5 separate regions of the Mus musculus genome follow, and regions 2, 3, 4 and 5 are each reported to be linked to region 1. Evidence: microRNA targets listed by miRTarBase, many of them from high-throughput screens and not tested one by one. Region 1 holds a microRNA gene; each other region holds the end of a gene's coding sequence.
The links. The annotated mature microRNA mmu-miR-1912-3p reads CACAGAACAUGCAGUGAGAACU and lies in region 1 at 1,544-1,565, shown strand. An mRNA with a match to its seed (bases 2 to 7 or 8) in the 3' UTR can be bound and repressed. Matches are read on the target gene's strand: a 7mer-m8 pairs with bases 2 to 8, a 7mer-A1 pairs with bases 2 to 7 and ends in A, and an 8mer does both.

Region 2: the mRNA of Mfsd11 is a reported target of mmu-miR-1912-3p. Seed matches in the 3' UTR shown: 7mer-A1 at 1,864-1,870.
Region 3: the mRNA of Arl14epl is a reported target of mmu-miR-1912-3p. Seed matches in the 3' UTR shown: 7mer-A1 at 3,668-3,674.
Region 4: miRTarBase lists Cracr2b as a target of mmu-miR-1912-3p. Seed matches in the 3' UTR shown: 7mer-A1 at 1,961-1,967.
Region 5: the mRNA of Shh is a reported target of mmu-miR-1912-3p. Seed matches in the 3' UTR shown: 7mer-m8 at 1,093-1,099 and 7mer-A1 at 1,587-1,593.

What each region holds. Positions count from the first base shown.
Region 1 is chrX:147,007,950-147,012,877 of GRCm38, forward strand. It overlaps Mir1912 (microRNA 1912), which reads left to right and starts at 1,492; the gene lies at 1,492-1,578. The region is part of intron 2 of Htr2c (5-hydroxytryptamine (serotonin) receptor 2C); the gene reads left to right. Mir1264 (microRNA 1264) reads left to right here and starts at 2,652; the gene lies at 2,652-2,737.
Region 2 is chr11:116,872,343-116,877,270 of GRCm38, reverse strand. Mfsd11 (major facilitator superfamily domain containing 11) reads right to left here. Exons shown (of 13, transcript NM_178620.4): 12 at 3,892-4,027; 13 at 1,611-3,490. The coding sequence ends at 3,326. Among named protein-coding and RNA genes, the nearest start is that of Mfsd11, 21 kb to the right of the region's middle.
Region 3 is chr18:46,931,572-46,936,499 of GRCm38, reverse strand. It overlaps Arl14epl (ADP-ribosylation factor-like 14 effector protein-like), which reads right to left. Exons shown (of 5, transcript NM_001033446.2): 5 at 2,278-4,094. The coding sequence ends at 3,872. Among named protein-coding and RNA genes, the nearest start is that of Arl14epl, 12 kb to the right of the region's middle.
Region 4 is chr7:141,464,502-141,469,429 of GRCm38, forward strand. It overlaps Cracr2b (calcium release activated channel regulator 2B), which reads left to right. Exons shown (of 10, transcript NM_001025103.2): 5 at 195-341; 6 at 438-528; 7 at 763-855; 8 at 1,018-1,184; 9 at 1,265-1,336; 10 at 1,545-2,101. The coding sequence ends at 1,722. Cd151 (CD151 antigen) reads left to right here and starts at 2,861. Exons shown (of 8, transcript NM_001111049.1): 1 at 2,861-2,965; 2 at 3,918-4,045; 3 at 4,754-4,844. The coding sequence starts at 4,761. It overlaps Gm10575 (predicted gene 10575), which reads right to left and starts at 3,270. Exons shown (of 2, transcript NR_152219.1): 1 at 2,381-3,270.
Region 5 is chr5:28,453,830-28,458,757 of GRCm38, reverse strand. Shh (sonic hedgehog) reads left to right here. Exons shown (of 3, transcript NM_009170.3): 3 at 155-1,918. The coding sequence ends at 903. Among named protein-coding and RNA genes, the nearest start is that of 9530036O11Rik, 11 kb to the left of the region's middle.

The DNA of each region.
Region 1 (4,928 bases):
TAGCTTAATGTATGTCAATTTCAACTCTTTCAATGTTAACAAATCTTGGCTCTAAAAGAATACTAATACATCAACTAAGAAGCAAAGCATTGTAGTCTTCTATTTTCCCCAAATTGTTTCATTTAAATATAATCCATAGTTGGTCTTTAGAATGATAGGGACTAAACCAAAATATTTTTCAAACCCAAGTTCATTTTGCAGATCATTTAGCAAGTAAATATTAAGGCTCCTGGTGATGCTATGTTGAACATATTTATAAGATTCAAAAAACAACTCCACCAAACCATCAGTGAAGATTTGTTTACTTGTCTTAGCACACCATTCCATATTTACAACTGTGCAGTATTTAGGGCTCAGCGATAGGACCTCAGGCATTTTCCTTTCCCCAGCCATAGTAATTCACACCCAGTTTGAAGTCACATGCTCTTGATGTTCTCTTTGTAACAGTATTATTTCAGTTGCCTAGATGCTCCTCATTCTTTAAGTCCCAGGTTATGTGTGACTGTTTCATTAATCTCCCATGATACATACACCAGCAACCCTCACTATTTAAACTCTGTCTCTTATTTTACTTGGCTCTGTTGTATTTTTACAGCATTATTCTTCTGCAATTATCTTGTGCATTTGTTCACTTCCTTATTAACTCTCTCCCTGTCCTGCCTATTTATTCTAAATTTGATTGTAGCCAGGACTTTAGTTGTTTCCAGACAACTGCATTGCAAGAAACTTGTTCATTAAAAAAAAAAATAGGTAATTAGTCATCACATAGCTACTCCATAAAGTCTAACATTTAATTCAGGGTCATGGAACTGAAAAATAACATAAAAGTTGTTGGGAACATTTCAGGAAAAAAAAACAGCACAAAAAATATTAAAAAACAAGACCTATGAGGAAAATACGTTGATTCAGGTAAGACCAAGAACCAGTTTTACTTAACTTTTTATAATTGACAGAGATCTTTGACCTATTAAAGTCTTTTATCTTTTGAAAAAAAAATAGCAAATTTAGTTACTGATGTCCCTGTTTAATAGGTATAAACTGAGACCCAGAGATTGAACTAATTTGTACAAATTCAGAGAAATATAACATGTAATCCAGGTTTTCCTTCTTCCTATGTCCAATATTTTTTTTTCTCATAAAACCATCTATCTACAGGATCACTAACCAGAGTAGGGAATTTAGTTTGGATGTAGTGAACAATGACCTTTTCTATTTGAGTTTATAAATTTTTATGTTATCTCAGGAGGTTCTCAAATATCAACCTTTATTTGTGGTAGCTATTTGTTTTCTTTATATGGTTTGAAAGAGTATGTAGTGCAATGGTAGAGGGTGACAGATTGCTAATCTATTGGTTCTTCAATTTCCAATATTCCATAATTCTTTGGTTAAGTTTTCCACTTTGCCAACTAATATTTCAAATATACTTAATATTTTTTAACTTAACAAGCTGATGACCCCTTAACAACTATTGAACTACATATCACAAGCATATTAGTCTCTAGGATGTGCTCATTGCATGGGCTGTGTAGATTTTTATTTAATACACAGAACATGCAGTGAGAACTTGATAGAGATTGGAAGACATCCAGAAGAATAAACCACGAATTCTTATAGGATAACTTTGTATTTGGTACAGATTAATTAACTAACCATCCATTTAAAGGTTTTTACTAATCCTGTCTCCAAACACCACAACCTAGATTCAAAAACACACTACTTGAACTTCCATATTGATTCTATTTTTATTTGTTACTTGATATTCTTCTTTACATAGATTGTTAAAATTTCACACAGAGTCAAAGTTAGCTTTTTAGTAGAATTATAAACAATAATTCAGATGCTAGAGAAATGGCTTAGCAGTTAGGAGTACTTGTTGCTCTGGCAGAGGACCAAGGTTCAATTCCCAGCACCCAAAATTTGGTTTACAAGTGTTTTTTAACTCCACCTTCAGTGAATCTAACACCCTCTGATGGCCTCCTTGGGCACTGCATGCATGTGGTGCACTTATATACGCAGGCAAAGCATTCACATGCATCAAAGTAAAAGAAAGACAATTTCCTCAAATATCCCATTGATTCAACAACATAAAACTTTTGTTTCAAATATATTATGACCATGTGTCAAAAATTACATTGATGACACATTAGATGCAGATGTTTTACATTATTAATGGGATATTAATAAATATGTCACCTGATGCTCACCTCATTCTTACATTTGAAACTTATTATTGAAAATATTCTGAATAGATATATGTCATTCATTTTAAATAGAAGACTTTTCTAGAGTAGTAGAATGATTTAGCTTGATTTGAAAGCATAGCAATCCTTGCACATTTAATACTTATAATTAAAACGTACTTGTTCTTGTTTTGGCATCTCCTTGTTTATGTAAGGAAGCAAAGCCAAACTAAATATGTATTAAAAAGTCTAATTGAAGAGCCAGAATAAAACACATTATAGGTCAGAAACACAACAGCTCTATATTTAGATACAACTAAGAACAAAGTAGAGATAAAAGGAGGTTTATAAAGAAAATGATTTAGTAATTACTTTTTAGAAATATTGAAACTTCTATGTCATATTGAAAAATATGGTCGAACTTTTTAAAGACAATGTCAGGATACATAGAACACGTTATATTTCTTCATGCCTGGCATATAGCAGGTCCTCAATAAGTATTTGTTGAAAAAATAAATGAAGCAACAAATCTTATTTGAGCACCTGTTATGTGGAGGATAAAAAACTACAAACCAAACAGAGCTTGTGATCTTATATGGGAGAGAATGAATATAAGGTAAATGTACAAATGACTATCATTTTTGAAACTGTAATAATATCAAATACATCTTTTAAAAAGATCACAGATGCGCAGTTCATGTCCCATTATCAAAGAATTTAGAGACTTGAACCTGGGACTTATATGAAGTATGGGAGCAAAAGCATTTCTTGTAGAAATTTAAGTATTTATAAAAAGGAATACTAAATCAGTAATCTTACAAGGGTCAATAAATTAAAATAGAACTTCCTGGATCACCATAAAACCTTTTCATAACCATTTTTCTTAATGTCTTCAGCATATTACATTAACATAGTATGAAATAATGTGAGTTCCTTAAAGGCTTTGTGCCTCTTAGTTCTTTTTTACTTACATGTATTATCTATCATTTATAATAAAACTTATCCAAAAGGTTTTTATCCATTATTTATAGTAAATCGTATCCAGAATGTTTTTAAGTACCTTGTCCATCATTTTACTACTTTTCAGGTTTAATTTCTAGCCAGTTACTTGAAAGTAATTTGAATATGAAAATAGCATTTGTTGTTTCTAATTTTAAAATTCCACTGGAGATAGGACAATAGATAATGTATTTTAACCGAACACCTTTCCTGAGAAGATCAAGGAATAAAATGTTTTACATTTGAATTGCTCCTATGACATCTTTGTAAGGTATAGCTGTTATTGTTGATTTTATCGGACTAGAGGTATACATTAGGAAAAACAAATTGGTTAGTCTACTTTATGAATGATGTAAAGACCACTTTGAATATAAACTAGTATTGTTATCAATTTTCATGAAGGATGCCCTCAATCTCTTTTTCTATTTATTTGTTGATTTTTCTACTGAGAGTTTTGCTGTTGGTTTGGTTGGTTGATTGAGATTGTTTGTAACAAGATACCCAATAGCCTAGTCTGGTCTTAAACTGACTATGAAGCAGAAGATGACCCAGAAATTCTGGTCCTCCTGCTTAAAGGTATGCACCACAATATCTGGCTCCACAACAGTCTCATTTATGAGACAGGAACTAGATATACCTGCCCTTCTCTTCATTTTCCTCCTTTAATTTCTCCTCGCTTTTTCCTTTCATTTTCATTCTATGTACAAAAATTATGCAGATGTTATTCACTGTTCTGTATTCAATTACTTATACATACATGGGCTTGAGTGGTAATCCATATAGATAAAATGTTTGATGAATGATTTAGTAATCATCTGTTTTAGAAATATGGACTTATTTAAATGCACTGTGACTCTTAAAAACAAACTAGGTGGATCCACTGGGACTGCAATCCATAACTCTGCAGTTTGATTGGCTGAATTTTTTTGTAATGATCTTCATGTGTTGTAAGAAGTTTATTTGATGAAGGGTGAGGACTGCACTTATCTGTGCACATAAGGACAAATGTTTAGAATTTAATTAGAGACTATACTGACTTACTAAACTGATTGTTGTAGGTTATCCGCCAAGATTCATGACTTCACTGGCTAAGACTTGGCTAAGTTTCCCGTATTACGCATGGTCTATCAGTAACATGTTACAAATGGAGCAGGAACAGTTTATACACACACACACACACACACACACACACACACACACACACACACACACACACATATATATATATATATGAATGTGAAGAGATGAAGAAAGGATATATAGGGAGGTATGAAAGGAGAAAAGCTAAGGGAGAAATGATGCAACTTTATTATAATTTCAAAAAGAAAAGAAAATCATGGAAGAAAATCACCAGAAGAAGATAAATGTGAGTTCTGAATATTGAATACTAAAAAAATTCAAATTGCTTTTATGTCATTCAATTTTTAAATATTCATATTACTACTCTACCCTATCTTCATAAGAGTATTATATGACTTTTACTAGTACAATCTTTTTATTATTATTTGCAATGATAATTGATCCCATATCATTGTTTTGCTGCTTCCATATACTAATAGGTAATTAATACATGAGATTATAGTAGAAGTTCCAGGTAGAGCAATGACTGAGAAACCATGGCTTCACTCAGAAATAAAAAAAAATGTTTAGGGGAAATCTGGCAAGTGATCAGGTGAAGAAAATACTTTTTCAGTATTATGGCAGGAGTGATCTTAGTATACTTTAAGAACACAAGAAAAATCTAGGGAA
Region 2 (4,928 bases), not on the chromosome of region 1:
CCTGGCATGGCGGTGCAAGCCTGTAATCCAGCATTTTGGAAACAGAAGCAGGTGGACCAGGGTTCAAGGTCAAATTCAACTACATAACAAATCTGAAGCTAGTTTTGCCTACCTGAAACCCTGCCTTACAAAACAAACCTTACAACCAGGGAGGACGCCATCGTTCCACACAGGGGACTTCTATAAGGACTGCGGCTGACAGCAGGGCTTTGCGGATTCCTACCCTACCATCAAATACTCAAAAATGCCAGGCATGGTGGTGCGTGTCTGTAATCCCAGCATTCAGAAGGTGGACAGGAGGAGGAGGAATGTGAGGTCAGTCTATGCTACATAGTGAGATGGAGGAGAGCCTAGGCTATACAATAGCCTATCTCAAGAACTGAAGCACGGAGCTAGAGAGAAGGCTCATGGGTTAAGGGTGTGCACTGCTCTTCCAGATGTGAGTGTGGTCAGTTCTTAGCACCCACACTGGGTGGCTCACAGCCACTCTAGCTCCAGGGGATCCCATGCCTCTGCCTTCTGACACTGACACAAGCATACACACCTAATCAATAATAAGAATAAATCTCACCTGCCCCCCACCCCCAAATCATCCAACCAACTACACAATTTCTAGATTCATGGCATGTTTCAGAGTCACAGGTCTGGGTGTGATGGCTATGCCTTTAATTCCAGCACTCAAGAGGGAAGGCAGATCTCTGTGAGTTCAAGACCAGTTTGGTTTAGGCTACTCTGAAGGGGAGTGGGGAGGTTGTAAAGGGGAGGGGAAAGGAGAGAGAGAGAGAGAGAGAGAGAGAGAGAGAGAGAGAGAGAGAGAAACACAAACCCAAACAAACTCCAAAAAACCAACAACCCCAAAGTGATGGAAAACAAGATATGTTTCTCTGAGCTGGACTCACTGTACTGTGGACAGATAAATGTCACGTTTAAAGGGAAGGCTCTGTTCTATGGAATATCCAGCAGGTCCAGACATAGGAAGGTTGTTAGTGCCTGCCACATCTGAGACGGGCTGAGGGCTGAGACAATGCAAGACAGTTCTGCAGTCCTGGGGCTGCAGAGCGGGCTGAGGATTGAGAGCACTTGGGGTTTGTCCTGGCTTGAATGAGAAAGGTCCCCACTGGCTCACACAGCTGAATGCTCCTCCCCCTCCCCCAGTTGGAGGAACTGTTTGGGAAGGATTGGGAGAAGTGTCACTGGAAGTGGGCTGGAGGGGTGGCTCCATGATTAAGAGCAGCAGCTGCTCTCCCAGAGGTTCTGAGTTCAATTTCTAGCATCCACACAGAGGCTCACAACCATCTGTAATGGCAGACCCATGGGAAGTTCTCTTCTGGTGTACATATATGCACACATATATCTATATACATAAGTTACATAAAGACAATTCTCTAAAGCAGAAAGCCATTCCCAGTTAGTTCTCTGCTACCTGCTTGTGGATAAAATGTGAGCTCTTGGCTACTGCTCTAGCCCCAGGCCTGTCCCGCTGTCATGCTTGCCACAATGATGGTCACAGACTTACCCTCTGGAACTTTTAAGTGCCAATAAACCCTTAAGCAAGTTCCCTTGGCTGGGCATTGGTAGTGCACACCTTTTTTTTTTTTTGACTGTGTATCTTTTTTTTTTTTTTTTTTTTTTTTTAAAGATTTATTTATTGATTATATGTAAGTACACTGTAGCTGTCTTCAGACACTCTAGAAGAGGGAGTCAGATCTTGTTGGGGATGGTTGTGAGCCACCATGTGGTTGCTGGGATTTGAACTCTGGACCTTCGGAAGAGCAGTCGGGTGCTCTTACCCACTGAGCCATCTCGCCAGCCCTTGACTGTGTATCTTAATGTAATTTTTCCAAGCAGGCACCAGACTTTTAATACAGAAGAAAAACAAGAAAGCTAGGCGAATACATCCGTCAAGGTACATCGACACAAAACAAAGAAATAGTGGACACTTTAATCCCAGCACTCAACCAGATTCTCCAGCCTCGTGAGTTCAAGGACAGCCAGTGCTACACAGAGAAACCCTGTCTCGAAACAAGTTGCCTTGGTATCTCTTCACAAGAGGAAAGTAACTAAGACACCAGAGAACGCACCCCATATCAGTGGTCTTTAACTGCCTGTAAATGCAGTTCGCAGGGATCCAATCTCCATCTGACTTCTCTGAGTTCTGTAGGCAGAATGTATATACAGACAAGCCACAGGCAAACACATACACTAATAAATAAAATAAAAAAGAATTTAAAAATAAAATATTGTCATTAGATATGGTGGCAGTTATACAACCTTATGCACACACACCACACATACACACTAAGTTGGTGAATTTTAGCCAGAGGTTGTTTGTGGCTTGGAAGAGCACAAGTTGGAGGCCAAGCTGCAGTACATACATGTTAGACCTGATCTAGATGCTTAATTAATTTAATATCTCAATCGTAAGAGTGTCAGTCCTTGTGGGAGACAGTCTGCAGTGCTTACGCACTTTCCCACAGAGGATGGCCGGAGTTTTCTTTATTGTAACGGTCAGGACAACCACAGCATGAGTCCTCCCCCTCCCAGTAAATACTCTTTCCTTCTCTAAATATGCTTTTATTAGTTGACAAATGACACAGTCTTTACCTCATTACACATAACCAGCCCCTTGCTGGGAGTGACAAGGTAAGACTTGTTCAACAAAGCATTTTAGGAGAAGTTGAAGTCTCAGCGGTGTGTGGTAGCATATTCTCACCACCCAGGCATTCTGGAGACAAAGGCAGGAGCATTGCCTGGTATACAAAGTCCAGGCCAGCCAAGGCTGCATATCAAGACCCTAACTCTTAGGATTGGAGCGTTTTAAATCCAGTGTTGGGCAATAACCCCAACACTGGAGGCAGGGGAGGGCTGCAAGTCCAAGACCAGCCTGGGCTACGCAGTGAGATCCTGTCTCAAAACAACGTGTCTCAGCATCCTTGCTGTGTTTCAGAAAGTCATTCCCAGACCCACACATGGAGTGGCATCTGCTTCCTATTTCGAAAGAGTGAGGCATACTCCACAGCCAGCAAGGATCTCGTGACACATGGCGAGCCAGGCTGGATCGTTCCTCGAGAATGAGGATGGAGGAGCCCTGATTGTGAGGAACTGAGGGAGGGGGTGGACGAACATCTCAGAACAGCTGTAACGGATAGAGCGGGATTCCCTTCCTCCGCTAGCGTGTGCCGCTAGGATATGTAAACTTTACTACCAACCCCGCCCGATTTCACAGTCTCCGTTCTCGCTTTAGCGATTATGAGACTGACAGGCCGTCGGATTTAACCAGCTGCCATGTGACCAGCTGTGTTTCTTGGAGACACTTGTTTTCTCATCAAATGCTTCGGTAGTCCGAGCCTCGGGCCACGATGGCAGCAGCGTCCCACTCCACAGCGAAGAAAGAAATGGTTCCAAAAAACCCAAATATCACCATGACCAGGAGCTGCCAGTGGAGGAGGAGGTAGTTGCTGTAGAAAAAGGCCACGGCTGCGCAGATTGACTAGAAGAAACAAGATAAATCACCAAGTGGATGCTGGGGCCTCAGATGCTCCACAGTCAGCCCAAAGGACATCTGCAACTGGCAGTGCCCGTGAAGACAGACTTCACTGGTCCCCAGCTCACAAATGCACCCCAACTTGCCTGACAGCAATAATCCAGTAAGCTGTGGCACTATAATAGTACAATAAAGTGATGAGAAGTCTGAGACTCTCTGGAGAGATGGGGCTGGTACCTAAGGAAGTATTCACTCAAGTGCAGAGACCAGAATTAAAGCCTCTCACCTAAGCAAGCCCACTGTGCCTGGTTCTCCTCACCCCCCTTTACAGGACACCCAGCATTCATTTAAACCCCCAGTGACCGAGGACAACGGGAAGGAAACCGACTGCAGCACAACCCAGTTACCTGAACAAACTTAAAGACCGCGAAGGCCGGCGCGCTGTCTTCCGAGTAGAGAAAACCCAGAATGCTAAGCAGCTGGGTGTTGAAGCAGCTGTCTCCCAGACCCAGCAGAAAACTGCAGAGAATGGCAACTTCTTTGCTGAAGGAAAACAAAAAAGCAAAAAACACATAAGACTGGGAAGATGGCTCAGTGGTCAGACAGAAGCATGCGCTGATTCTGGGAAGGACCTGAGTTTGGTTCCCAGAACCCATGACTCCAGCATCAGAGGACCCAATGCTCTTCTTTGAACTCCACAGGCACCACCTGAACTCAAATATGCCCCCCCCCACATATATGAGTAATTTAAATAAAAATAGCTGGGGGTGGTGGGTACATGCTTTTAATCCCAGCATTCCAAAGGTAGAACCAGATGGACCTCTGTCAGCTCAAGGCCATCCTGGTCTTAGGGAGTTCTAGGACGGCCAGGACTCTGTAGAAAGACCGGTCTCAATGCATACATGCATACATACATACATACATACACCGGTCTCATACATACATACACACATACATACATACATGCATACATACATACATACATACACCAGTCTCAATGCATACATACATGCATACATACATACATACACCAATCTTAATGCATACATACATACATATACCAGTCTCAATGCATACATACACACATACATACATACATACACCAGTCTCAATGCATACATACATGCATACATACATGCATACATACATGCATACATACATACATACATACACCAATCTTAATGCATACATACATACATACATACATCAGTCTCAATGCATACATACATACATACACGGGTCTCATACATACATACACACATACATACATACATACATACATACATAAAACTAAAGTGAATCTCTAGAAAGAAGTTAAATGTGTAGCACCAATATTCACCAAATATAAAACCATGCTCCCAACAAAAGCAGTTTGTTTTGTTTTTATTTGGTGAAGAGGCTGCTGAGGACTGAGCCCAGGGACTCATTAATGCTAGGCAAACCC
Region 3 (4,928 bases), not on the chromosome of region 1:
CATTCCAGTTCAAAATCTTTGCATAAATGGGCACAGGGTGACTTGTCTAAATCCTTTAGCATACACCAGCTTATATTCAAATGACCTGCATGAATTCTTTTTTCCTATTACTATACATATTCATGAGACACACCATCAGCATACAATGATAGCCAAGCAGAGAAGAGAAAAATCCCATTACACCAAGGAGACAATTTCCTTGGTTAATGCAATCAGACCATGGAACTGCATTCCCTGTTAATCTGAATTCATATCAAGTAGCTAGTAAGCTTTACTCAGTCCGTGATCAAAATTAGATACTTACAAAATGAATTTCTGTCAAGTCACAAAAATTTATTTTTGCAAAAATTACTTAGTGCAGGAGGCTTTTCAAAAACCCATTTAGTGCGAATTCAATCAAGATGAATGAGATAAACCTGATTTCTAATCGTATTTCATAAACCTGATTCTTAAAGTCATATTTTACAAACCTGATTTCTAAAATTGCATTGAACCATGTTTTACTAGGCTCTGTGTAAATAGCAGGCAATGTCTGCTGAGGAATTGTTCTTCTTTTATTTTTGGATTTACTGGGAAAGCTGCAAATATAACTTGCTAATACACTTACTTATCAAGACAGATCAGTTAAGGCCAAATTACCTTGCTGCTTAACAGAGACTGGCAAGAGGAAATAGAATAGTGTCACTTTGTTTTTAGTATGACATATGATGGTGGGGACTGGCGACAGAAGGAGGGTTTTCCACACTCACCAGGAGGCTCACCAAGGAAGCTGCTTTGAGGAAACACTGCCTGGGCCGCAGTTCTGAAGTGCTGATTTGGAGGAGTAGGAGCAGGCTCAGAAAGGAATGTTATTAAAAGTACCTGCATGTGATTATGGGCTGGCCAACTTAGCATGGTGTGTTACAAGGGCAAGTGTTATGATCAGGGGTAAGCTTGGGGTATACTTAGCATAGCTGGTAGAGGGTGTGCAAACATGCACAGAGCCTTGGGTTCTGTCTCTAGCATGGCATAGTAATACACACTTTTAATACCAGCTCTCAGGAGGTGGAGGCAGAAGAATCTGAAGGTTGGGGTCGTCCTCTGCTAAGCAGGGAGTCCTAGGTCTGCCTGGGCTTCATAAAATTCTATCTCGAACAATATCAGGGTTGCTAGCTTTTTCATGAATGCTCCCTCGGTCCAGCTTATTTAATTGGGGCTACATTAACTCAGTTGTAAAGGCAGGATGAAAAGAACCAAAAATGAAAATGGTTTGGTTTAAGTGCACAAAACTCCATGAAGGTAGAGAGAAGGTGGATTTTGGTTGATACTGAAAAGGTCAGCATAGGAACTTTGGGGAGGTCATGAAACACACACATACATACACACACACACTCTCTCTCTCTCTAGAGAGAGAGAGAAAGAGAGAGACTAATTAGCATTTCTTAGACCACAGGGTGGTGGGGACAGTTCATTCCTTGCTCACCTTCAGACAAGGGAAGTCCTTGTCACCTCATTGCCTAAAGACCAGTTTAAAGGGTGCACTGTTCTGCCAATCATATTGTGCCTAGTTGCTGATGCTCTATTCTGCCCCTGGAAACCATATAAAAACTCGCTGAACTGGTGCTGGGGGTCGCTGCCTCTCCTTTGGGTCTGGGACGACCTCAGTTCACTGGAACAATAAATTCCTCTTGCTTTTTCCATCGATCCTGGCTCGACGTGGTTCACCCAGGGGGCTCCCTGGAGTCTTACAGTGCTGTCTCTGGCATCTAGATCAATGGCTGGCACAGAACAACTTCTGGGTGTTTCTCGACCTATCCATCCTTCCCATGAGCTGAAACAGTGCACACTAAATAAGTCATCACGGAGTACAGCAGGTTCACTATTCAGAAAATGGATAAGTGAAAGGGACCGCCATCCTTTTAGCCTCAGTGAGCTTCCAAAAGATGTGACTTGTGTGATTTCACTCACCTTTCTCTCAGGACCGTGAGGGCTGATGGTCACAAAATGAGAGACACTTGGCATAGTGTTTGGCTTAGGGCATAGATACTCCAAAAAGGTGACTTGAGAATTTTGGGTGCAGTTCAGTGATAAACATTTACTGTGAATGCACAAAGCCCTGGGTTCAACAGGCAGCCACAAAAGTAACTGGAATCCAGAAAAGCGGGTAAACTGTGGGAAACAGAGCAGGGAACCTACATTCTCCTGTTATGTGTCAGGAGTCCCATGGGCACAGTAAAATCTTTGGGATTTTCATGTCAAAACATGGAGGAAAAAAGAAACCCTGAAAACCCAGCTTTCAACACTTCACATTTATTTAAAACAGAATTCTTGGTGGTTTAAAATAGTACCAAGTCACTAAGTCCCACTGTTTAAATACTTCCTTGCATTACATATCTACTGTAACTTAAAGAAGTGCTTTTCATACATGGCCCCCAGGCCTGTGACATCAATATCATCTGGGAAATCGTTTCAAATGTAAATTGAGTCACAGTACAGACCTTAAGTTAGTAACTGAGGATTTGCGAGCCCCCCAGACAATGAACATAAAAGAAACTCTGACTCAAAATGGGGAAAATTAGTACATTTGGTGTTGGAGAGATGGTTCAGTTATTTAAAGCACATACTGCTCTTGAAAAGTTTGGTGGTTCCCAGCACTGATTTCAAGTGGTTCATAAAAGCCAGTAACGCAAGCTCTGAAGAACCCAACATCGCAGGCCTCTGCAGGCACCTGCACTGATGTACGTAAGTTCACAAAAGATATACACACACACACATACACACACACACACACACTTGCACATGAGCACAAAGAAATGAGTACATAGAAGGCCGAATTCAACTTTCCAGATACCTGCTACCATATGTTAGAACACAGCCAGCCACGTCATGCTTTCTGTCAGCTGCCCATCCATACATCCAACTAGTAAACATACAAGCCACTCTGGGTATCACTGAAGGCTAACTTCCTTAAAGAACAAACAAAAAACAAACCCTGAAATACTGATCCAGTAAGGAAATGGGTTAGTCACAGACTTTTAGCATATTCAAGTCTTTGCTTCTCAATTTAGTAAACTATATACAATTTAGTACAATATGAATGTTTGGTAATAAAAATATTGTAATTACCAAATTTAAGTTGAACATTAAAATATAAAAAAATAAGACTAAAGATATACAGTACAAAGAACAAGTTGGCTTTTCTTAGTAATATGTGACATTCTAAGAAAAACATACATTTGGTTGTATGTTCTAGGTAACAGCTTTTCAGATGCAGAGTTCTGCAAACCTTAAAATTACGGTGTTCTCGACCAGACACCCTGAGAAGGGAGAGGTGTAGCTTCAAGGCAGAGTTGAGAGTGCTGCTAATGAGGAAGCCTGAGTGTCCACTCTTGCAGCCTGTGGTCACCAGCTGAGGAAGCTGAGAGGGTCTATACAATGATTGTCTGGTCTACAGCCATCTGTTGCACCAACACGTATCCAAGAGAAAGAAGTTTGACTTAAAAGTGTACATATATAAAATATATTCTCTATAGGGCCATACATTCATTCATGAATGTTTGTTGGTATGTATGTATGCATGCATGCATGTAGAAGGAATAGAAGCCAGGCATGATGTACTATACCTAAATTAATACAACTTGGGAAGCTAAGGCAAGAGAATTGCCATAAGTTCAAGGCCAGCCTGAGCTACAGAATAAGACCCTGTTTCAAAACAAACAAATGCACACCCTCACACACAAAGCACACGCAGGCAGAGAGAAAGGGGAGCAGGGGGGAGGAGGGGAGAGGAGAGGCGAGAGGGGAGAGGGGAGAGGGGAGAGGGGAGAGGGGAGAGGGGAGAGGGGAGAGAGGAGAGGGGTGAATCTAGCCGTGAATCTATGCATAACATCTCCTAGTCAGGAACACTAAATGGCAGGGTGTTGATGACCTCGCCAGACTCGGTGACGATGGCATCATAGACCCAGCGGCGGTTGCAGCGGCACTCCGGCCCACACTTGTTGGAGTTGCACTTGGGGCACGGGTAGAAGCATCCCAGGCAGTTCTTCTCCAGGCAGTCACACAGGTCCACGTCGTTACAGATCAGCCTGCCGCTTTTGTCGTACTTCTTCATCACCCTGCAAAGAAGGAGCCGCTGTGAGCGAGCTAGCCTGCTATCCTCCCCGTGAGAAGAGGATGCACAGCATGTCAGGAGCATGGACCCACTCTCAGCGACGTTATCAGAAAGAGTCTGCTGTGTGAACCGGCGGTGGTAAGCTGGGATGGTCAGCCAGGGAGTGCAGCCAGGACTGTGGCTGAGAACAACTTGGTTGTCCAGCATTTCTGGAGCATCTAACCATCCGTCTAAAAGCACTGAACAGCTGGCTGATGCTTCCCCATAACACAGTTCTACATTTTCCTCTAAAATATCAGCATGTTGAAGGTATTTTCCTGTTAGGGAGGGGGTCCCTGCAACACCGTAGCCAGCAGAATGTAATGAGGCAAGAGGGGAGTCTGGTTCAACACAGCTCAGTAGTCAGTGTTGGTTCAAACTTCTAGAGTCTAACATTAGACAATTTTAGGTGTATTTAAGTAAATTACAAGTTTCCCAGTATAACATGATCTCATATGTACAATAAAGCTTAAGGCATAATTACTTCAAAATTCTTTTCAAAGCATGTTACCTCTTCCGTGAAGATGGATTCTACAGAGACACTGCCTGTGCGTGGGTCTGGAGGAGGCTCTAGAGTGGTCTCTGTCATACAGGTGGTACAAAGGTCACAAGGCTATAAACCATCCCCAGTCCTGTTTGTAAGGGTGGGGGAAGGTGTGGCCTGGCCCTACAGAATCAGTCCTGCTTGTGGGAACAGGAATCAGGTATGGCCTGGCCATACAGATAGTGAAGAGGTCACCAAGCTATTAACCACACCCACCCTTGGAATTCTGGATGGAAACCAGGTCCTTCCACTGAG
Region 4 (4,928 bases), not on the chromosome of region 1:
GACACCTTAGGCACGCACTGGCCCAGCACTTGGTATACAGGGCACCTTACACTTGCAGAGGCCAAGGAAGCATAAGAGCACCAAGCGAGGGGTGTAGTTCTGGGCTGCTGGGTTCTCCATGGGTTTGTTTCACTGTCCGCAATGGGGAGATAAACCCTCACCCACCAGCTCCCGTCTCTGATCGCATCCTCCAGGCAATGGGCTGTGAGAACCCTCTGGGTCGGGCTGCAGCGCGAGCGACCTGAGCTGTTGGGCTCTCTAGAGGAAGTTCTGATGCGCGCATCGGCCTGCCTGGAGGCGGCGGCCCGGGAACGCGAAGGTCTTGAGCAAGCGCTGCGACGGTGAGGGCTGGCCTAGCCTGGGGTCTGGGGACTCACGGAGGGGGCAGAGACTTGGCTCGGAAATGATCATGTCTATGATATCCCGGTTCCTCGAAGGCGGGAGAGTGAACACGAGAGGGAGGTGCGCGGACTGTATGAAGAACTGGAGCAGCAGCTCGGGGAGCAGCGACACCGCAGGCAGAGCCAGGTGGGCCCGCGCACGCCTCGCCCAGCCTTGCTGCTCGCCTCTCTGGCTCCGCCTTCCCCGAATTGGTTCCTCCCCAGAGGACTCACCTCTGGGAGTCCAAGCTGCCCCAAGTCCAGGGAACTCTGCTCTGCCTCAGCAAGTGCCCCTTCCCGCACTCTCCACCCCTTCGCTACCCACCCTTGCCTGCCTCCTTTGAGCCCGGAACGAAGGCTCTAGCGCGGCTGTACATCCCAGAACCTACCCCGGGAGGAACAGAGGGGCCACCTGGAGCTGGAGCTGCAGACCCGTGAGCAGGAGTTGGAGCGCGCAGGCCTGAGGCAGCGGGAGGTAAGCCGTATTGAGTTCAAGTTGGTGTCCTCGCATGGGGGGGGGGGGGGGCGGGCGGGTTTATCTGTGCCTTGGGGTCCTCAACCAGGAGCCACAGGGGTGAGGGGTCAGCTTGGGACCAGAGGGGTGTGGCATGCCAACCAGCATTCCACCATTCCCCAGCTGGAACAGCAGCTGCAGGCCCGGGCTGCAGAACAGCTAGAGGCACAGGCCCAGCACATCCAGCTGCAGAGGGCCTATGAGGCCATACGGGCACAGCTGGACCAGGCCCAAGAGCAGCTCAGTCGACTGGAGGGCGAAGCACAGGGTCGGCAGGAGCAAACCCAAAGGTGTGGTGAAGTGCCTGTGGTGAGGGTAGAAGGGTCTGTCCCCCCAACCCACATCTGGATCACAGCCTTCCTGTCCACAGAGATGTGGTTGCTGTCTCCAGGAATATGCAGAAAGAGAAACTCAGCCTCCTAAGGCAGCTGGAGCTGCTGAGGTGGGTCAGGCCTGCCTGGGCTAATGGGAAGTGGTTTCAAGTTTCCAGATAGTATTGGCTCCTACCCATGTTGCTGGAAGTCCTTATGTCTGCCCTATAGCCTTCATGCGGCTGGCTCTGTAGTCCTCTTGACTCAGGGAAGGCATCTCCCCCATGCACTTTTTCCTCTAGATCTTAGCCTCCTCGGTCTCCTACCTCTCTTTTCTAGGGAGCTGAATCTGAGGCTTCGAGATGAGAGAGATGCCTGTGAGACCAAGCTGCTGGGCAGTAGCCACAGGAAGGCTCTAGCTATTGCCCACAAGCCCGGACCCATCTACTGCTGCTGCTGCTGTGGCTGGGCTCGGCCCCCCAGACGAGGCTCTGGCCATCTTCCTAGTGCCCGATGACCAGCCCCGAGTGACTCACTTCCCTATCCAGAGGACTGCCCCTAGGAGGGACTGGTCTTGGTGGCGGATACTTGCTAAGTGTGTGGCTCTACCCAGAAGGCATCCCATGCCTGAAGGAGCTAACCTCAGAGTAGTCAAGGCCTTCAGTCCTTCAGTCTTTATCCTGTCTTCCTTTTTTTTGGGGGGGGGGGTTTCGAGACAGGGTTTCTCTGTGTAGCCCTGGCTGTCCTGGAACTCATTCTGTAGACCAGGCTGTCCTCGAACTCAGAAATCCGCCTGCCTCTGCCTCCCGAGTGCTGGGATTAAAGGCGCGTGTGCCACCACGCCCGGCTATCCTGTCTTCCTTAATCTTTGTCTGAAGGACCAATAAAGGCCATTGTATACTGTGTACTCCTTGGCTCTTGTGTGTTTGGGAGCCACGGTGCATTTGTGGTTCATGCTTGGTATCCATGGCACAAGGTGACATGGAGGGGTTTACAGGTGCACATTAACCCCTTCGTTCCTGCAGCTGGGGGTTCCTGTGTGCTTGTGTGTGTTCTGTGATTCTGGATATTCACCAAGCCCTCACCCATTCCTCCCAGCTGAAGCTCCCAGGACTCAGGTTTCAACAGGTGTCCGCTCCCACGCTAGTCCACACGTGGAAGGTCCCGCTCCTCACCTCCGTGGTCAGCTAGCTTTCTGGTCCAGGTCCTTTATCCATCATCCTTTGGCACAGTTCCTAGCCAGACCATATGCCACCCACACTGGGCACCTCTCGCAGGGCCCTCATGTCTCTATGGAATCTTCTGGCACCCTCCACACTGTATCTGGAGTTTCCCCTCTAGCATTTCTTCAGCCGCTAGAACCTGCAGCTTTAGAGTGGTTCTCCCGGCTTAGACTAGAGAAACTGGTCTTGACCTCAGTTCTGGACCTCTGGTGGGCTAGGTGCCACCTTCCCCACCTCTTCGCTCCCCACCTGGGTTCTACCTCTGGTCTAGCTCCTCTGTCTCTGGGCGAGTTGGGGCTTTTGATGACAAACGGGGCACCTTTAAACTAACTTTACAGACCCACAGGTCTCTCTGGCGCGCGCCTTAGCACCAAACCAGTTAGGACTTGCCTGCCCAGGCCGGCCGTGGGCGGGGCTGCGCCCGGGGCGGGGTCGCGCGCAGGGCGTGTCCTCGCAGGCCCCGGGCCGAGCGTTCTCTGTACTCCGAGTGATCGCTCCTACCGTGGCTGCCGGGGCTGGTATTTCAAAGCGTGGTTGGTGAGTGCTCCGTGAAGCATAGCCGGAGGGTGTGGGGAGCAGTGTCCTGAGTTCCTCGCTCACTGGTGTTCCTAGTCTCCAAGCTGGCCTCAGGGACGCCCAGGAGGCAGAGCCTGAGGTAGGACAGGGTTGCAGACTCCTTTCCGGAAGATCGACGCCGGGGCCGGGCAGTTAGAAGGCCGGAGGGGGAGGGGTGAGGGAGAGAGCTTCTGTGGTTCTTGAGCAGGCCTGACGGTCTCTTTCGTGCAGAAACCCAGAAATTTAAAAGTCTGACCACCCTATTCATTGTCCCTGGACACCGGTTCCCTCCCCTGAGACCGCAGGTCCGCCCACTGGCACGGGGCGGGGGAGGGCGGCAGGGGCGGTGGTGACTTCATCTCTGTGACGCGGGGATTCCTCGCCCAGCCCACTTCAGTGTTTAATCGGGTCGGTGGGGCGGGTGCCGAAGGCCCAGGACAGGTCCAGGAGCTAAGTGTAGGGCGGTTGTGTCCAGGCCGCAGGAGCTATTTCTGGCTGGTCCAGGCTCTCACACCGGCACTTTCACAGAGAATTTACATCCAGTCTGCTGATTGTCTCTTGGCTTAGGTTGATGGATGTGTCTAAAAGCCCATAGATTCTGGGCTTTTAGAGCCTGGCCCCGGGGGTTTGCATTGTGGCCAGGCTTCTTTATGTCATTGCCCGCTTTCAGTGAGGCAGCATGCATTTTTGGGTCCCATCTCCAAATAGAGCTCTGAAATCTCTCCCACTTTCCAAAATGGACAGTCGATGCATCCTCCTTCAGTTTGCGGTCGCTGCTGTTTGGTGGGGGAGGGACTGTGATGGATGGGACTGGAAGGTGGGGCACTTGGAGAAGGCATTTGGTCCCTCCCTAGATCAGGCAGGTCAGCCATGTTCTTTGGCCTGCCGCCGTCCAGTAGAAAACAGCAGGCCTGCCTGTTATGCTTCCTTGCAGATCTGGTGGCTCTGAGAACCATTTTGACCACTGCTTAAGCTTCTGTAGTTGGAGTGGCAAGATCCCACCTGCTAGGTGAAGGGCAGAGAGTGACTTTTGACCTGTACCTGCTGGTCCTGACTTGAGAGGTGAGAGCTGGTGCCTGGGCAGAGCCTCAAGGCCCCTGGCTAACAGTTCTGCTTAGGTGTGTGTCTGGGAATCTGACCTGCGTCAGCCGAGGTCTGTACACTGTCCTCAGTCAGACAATAGTGTGTCTAGGGCAGGGTGTGACTAGGGGACTCCTGGAGGAGTGGCACATTCACATATGTGGAACTGGGACCTCCCCCTACAGTCGGGAGGAGAGCTGGTTGTACAGGCTCCACCTACCGGCATCTTATTGTCTCTGCCCTGGCTGGTAGTAGAGTCAGCTCAGAGTCCTCACAAACTGTCCCTTAGGGTGGCCTGAGCTCTCTGCCATATCTGGGAACGGGTATGAGTGGTAAGTACCTAGCAGCCTGATTGTGGGACTCAGGGAATGCTTGGGGGTGCCGATCAACAGGAATGTACCCTGAAGGTCTGCTGGTGCTTCCCCCCCTGTTGCCAGCAGGAGTGAGTCAGCAGATGTTGGGGGGTCCTCCATGATAACCCACCATGTGTCTGGCTGTGAGGAGGTTAGTTCAGGAAGTGACTCATAAGGTTCCTGGGAATGCTCCTCTGAGGGCAGATAGCTGGCTGAGCTCCAAACTGCAATCATCCGGGGACTGCTGGATCTCCTCCTGTCTCCGTTGGTAGATAGCTTTCTTCCTACTTGGAGGCCTGGTGCTTCAGGCCATCTGACCTCCTCCCCGTTCCTCTAGGCCCAGGATGGGTGAATTCAATGAGAAGAAGGCAACATGTGGCACAGTCTGCCTCAAGTACCTGCTCTTTACCTACAACTGCTGCTTCTGGGTGAGAAGAGCTAATTTCTCCCTGCATCCCTAGTCCCCATGTTGGAGGCCTGGCCTGGGGGGCTCAGTCCCAGCTTCCAGACCC
Region 5 (4,928 bases), not on the chromosome of region 1:
AGTGAGACATGAACGCGCGCCGCCACACACACACACACACACACACACACACACACACACACACACACACACACACACACACACGCTCGTACACGCACCCGGTGTACCTGTCTCCTTTGGCACTCAACACCTGGTCTTTCTCTCTACTCCGCAGAGAACTCCGTGGCGGCCAAATCCGGCGGCTGTTTCCCGGGATCCGCCACCGTGCACCTGGAGCAGGGCGGCACCAAGCTGGTGAAGGACTTACGTCCCGGAGACCGCGTGCTGGCGGCTGACGACCAGGGCCGGCTGCTGTACAGCGACTTCCTCACCTTCCTGGACCGCGACGAAGGCGCCAAGAAGGTCTTCTACGTGATCGAGACGCTGGAGCCGCGCGAGCGCCTGCTGCTCACCGCCGCGCACCTGCTCTTCGTGGCGCCGCACAACGACTCGGGGCCCACGCCCGGGCCAAGCGCGCTCTTTGCCAGCCGCGTGCGCCCCGGGCAGCGCGTGTACGTGGTGGCTGAACGCGGCGGGGACCGCCGGCTGCTGCCCGCCGCGGTGCACAGCGTGACGCTGCGAGAGGAGGAGGCGGGCGCGTACGCGCCGCTCACGGCGCACGGCACCATTCTCATCAACCGGGTGCTCGCCTCGTGCTACGCTGTCATCGAGGAGCACAGCTGGGCACACCGGGCCTTCGCGCCTTTCCGCCTGGCGCACGCGCTGCTGGCCGCGCTGGCACCCGCCCGCACGGACGGCGGGGGCGGGGGCAGCATCCCTGCAGCGCAATCTGCAACGGAAGCGAGGGGCGCGGAGCCGACTGCGGGCATCCACTGGTACTCGCAGCTGCTCTACCACATTGGCACCTGGCTGTTGGACAGCGAGACCATGCATCCCTTGGGAATGGCGGTCAAGTCCAGCTGAAGCCCGACGGGACCGGGCAAGGGGCGGGCGGGGCGGGGAGCGACTGCGAAATAAGGAACTGATGGGAAAGCGCACGGAAGGAGACTTTTAATTATAAGAATAATTCATAATAATAATAATAATGATAATAATAATAATAATAAGTAGGGCAGTCCAAAGTAGACTATAAGGAAGCAAAAACCCCGGGGAGTTCTGTTGTTATGTTTAGTTTATATATTTTTTTGAAATTTTTCGTTATTGTCTTATATGGGTTGTTTTTCTCCTCTCCTGGCTATTTATTTGTTTCGTATGAATAGATGTTTTAAAAATATGAACGGACCTTCAAGAGCCTTAACTAGTTTGTGTCTTGGATAATTTATTATTGTGTGAACTGTACTCACAGTGAGGGAAAGATTATTTTGTGAGGCCAAGCAACCTGCTGAAAGTCTATTTTTCTACATGTCCCTTGTCCTGCGTTTCAGAAGGCAAACCTCCGCATTCCTCTCCTGCTATGCTCCTGCTTTCCCGCAAGTGTAAACTAAAACCTGCTCCATGGGGGTCCACAAATTATATTTTTATACACAGAATTGTAAATTAGATTTTTGAGAGATCAATACCTAACTGAATGACATTTCATTTTTTGAAAGTGTAAAATATGAAAATATATTATTTTAATTTAACTATTTTCCAATGTAATAGCCGTCTTCTGTACTGCCTTCTTGGTTTGTATTTGCTTTGTAACCGCCACTTTGTCATGTTCTTGGAAACCAAGACTGTTAACGCACACATATACACTTTTTTTTTTGACAGACTGGAAGAACTCTGTTATTTTTAACTTCAAAGAATTTATTAGAAAATAATATTTTTTAAAAGTGCACCTAGCAGCGAGCCCACGAGGATGGAGCCTGTAGTTTGTACAGAGAAAAACAAGGATGTTTTTGCATTAATAAACTGAGAAGTAACTGCTGTAAATTTACTAAAATGTATTTTTGAATATTTTGTAATAGTTTTATAGAAATAAAGCGTGCCACACACACCCAGTGGTCAGTAGATATTTTCTGAGAATTCCTGTTGCACCCCCTTTATGTTGTTTTTGGCTTCATTTCTGGGAAATCTGGAGCCCCAGTATTTTGTTGAGTTGTAATTTCAGACCTACTGACTTAGGAAACCAAAGTCAACAAAACAAATCCACTGTCTGCCCTCCTCATTGGAAGACCCCAGCCCTGTACTTGCTATGCAAAGCTCCGCCCACACTCTCCAGAGTTGGGGAATTGAGGGGGACAATCTTCCCCTGCCCATTTCCAACTCTTTGCCAGCAAAGCCTTCTTTGTGGGCAGGAGAGGCCTAGCATGTGCAGTCCCCTTTTTACATGGTAGCCTGCTGCCCTTCCCTGACCCTAGTCTCTGATCTGGAGGGAACAGCTTTCATAGCTGAAGATGCTGGACCTTTCCAGACAGGGTCTCCTAGAAATTTAGTTCTCCTACCCCTCCTAGCATGGTCACTGGAGTAACTTCTCCATCTGGGCCTGGTGAGCTGCCTGCCAGAGCCAGAGAGTGACCACTTTAGTATCTCTTGTTCTTTGTCTACCTGGAGCAAAGCCTGTAGTTTATCCCCAATGCCCAGTCAGTGACAGTGTTAGCTAGGTGTAGTGGGAGGAGTCCTTCCAGCTTACTGCCCCAGCTTACTGCTGCCTGGCAGTGTGTTCAAGAGGACTCTGCCCTGGTGCTTTAGTGTATTGAAACATGTCCTTCTCTGTGCTTTGGGGAGAAACATCTGAGAAGCTTTGAGCAGATGGAGGGGTCTCTGGGCAGATAGGGCCAAAGCAGAGACTGGCCCTGGTTTAAGAAGCAGCACTAAGTGAACCTTCTAACTGCTTGGCAAGCCTGACCTCCAAGGAGACCTTTGAGGGTGTCTGCAGCCCTGAGGAGCTTCTTGGTGACAGAGGTTTTCCCAGGAGGCTGTCCCCACTACAATAGCCTTGGGTCGGAGATCTGTCCTCCACGGCTTCCACAAGGCCAACATGCTTGGCAGCAGCAGGCCTTGGGATTTCTCTGCAAAAGATTTTTCTTTGGTCTCATAGGACTCAGAAGCAGATTCGTAGCTGGTATTTCCGATGTCTCGTGGAATTGGCCATTGCTCTTCTTTTGTCCATTCTGACAGACAAACTGGAACGACTGTGCACACCAACAGCTTCGACTGTGCCTAACAATGTAATCAGTTACCCATGCAGCACTTGGGCAGAGGCAAGAACTGGATGCCCACCCAGCTCAACAGTTTGCCATGGCCTGAGAGGAATTCTTGAAACAAGGACACCATAGAATACACAACTCCAAGCAGTCCCTGTTTCTGGAGGGGCCAGGTGGCACAGCCCTGCTGCCCATCTTCCAGGGTCCCTCTGTCCTTCTTTGTAGGATCTTTCTTTCTTTTTTTTTTTTTTTTTAAGATTTATTTATTATATGTAAGTACACTGTAGCTGTCTTCAGACACTCCAGAAGAGGGCGTCAGATCTTGTTACGGATGGTTGTGAGCCACCATGTGGTTGCTGGGATTTGAACTTCAAACCTTCGGAAGAGCAGTCAGGTGCTCTTACCCACTGAGCCATCTCACCAGCCCCTTGTAGGATCTTTCTATAGGCATGAAAGAAAGGTATTACATAGGTGTGACAAAGACCCCAAAGAAAATACAGGCCGCTGAGCCTTAGCAGGGCACCCACATATCTCCTCAGAATTGGTAGTATCAAGAAATTGTGCAAAATATATTATGGTACTTACTGCCATCTTCTCATACCCAAGTTTTTAATCTGTTCTTATAAAAAAAAAAAACCAACAACTGCATCATAATGTTCTCAAAACTGGTATCTTTGTGCTATATGGGTTGCATAAGTTAAGAAATCACAGAGACTTCCTGAACTGTTGGTTATGTGACAAAATTTCTATCTTGTGCTGTCGAGAACCTTCACGTCCCTTCGTGAGAGTAAGCTGTGTATGAGAAGGGAAGTTTCCATTGAGAGGGTGGATGTCACTCTCTCAATGGGTGGATTGAGTCAGGTTGTGATCATTTTTCCTGTGCAGGAAGACATGTGACCCAGCAGCTGACAGGGTGGCAGAGAGGTCCTCCCCTGGTGGGGTCTCAATGTCATCAGTGTCACACTCCATGGGAAATGTTGGGCACACATGGAAAGGATGCTCGGTGGCTACAAGACTTGGCCAGAAAACACCGAAGCCCCTGCCAGGGACTCATGCGGGCACAAAGAAGCTGGCTATACTCAGCCTATGGGGCTCCCTAAGATCCAGGAAACCCAGGCACCTTCTCTCTGGGTACCCAGGAATGTGGCCCACATGTGACTTCATAGAAACAGATCACAATTCACTTCTTGGGTATTGACTTTCCAAGCACTCTGCTGAGTATATGTTCAAAGGTAGAGAGCAAGCTATGACCGTGGAACAAATCTAGTCCAAGGCCTATTTACACATAACTTATAAGCTGACATTGTTCTTAGTACCTGTAAATGTCTGAAACAAAGAATCTAAACGATAATATTCACAGCACCTGAGAACTCCATGAAACTTGGAGCTGAGTAGCCATCAGTAAACTTTCACTGGACACAGCAGACACATTCACGACATCTTGCCCATGGCTTCCTTCCTACCTGTGTGACAGACCTAGTGGTTACAGCAGAGATCATTAGGCCTCTGGAGCCACATACACACACACACACACACACACACACACAAACACACACACAGCTTTGCTGTGGACAAGGCTATTTCTAGTCTTTGTAGGATTCCCAACCACGGCTGGGGATGTGGTCTGGTCAGCAAAGTGCTTATGACACAAATTTGAGGAGTCAAGCTTGTTCCCCGTACCCACATAAAAGGCCTGATGGAGCAGCACTTTTCTGTGATCCCAACACTGGGGAAAGGAAGACAAGAGAATCCAGGGCTTTCTGGCCAACTAACATGGCCAGATCAGTGTGCTCCAGTTCAGCAGGAGACCCAGTCTTAAAGAATAAGGAGAACAGATAAAGGACATCTGACATTGACCTT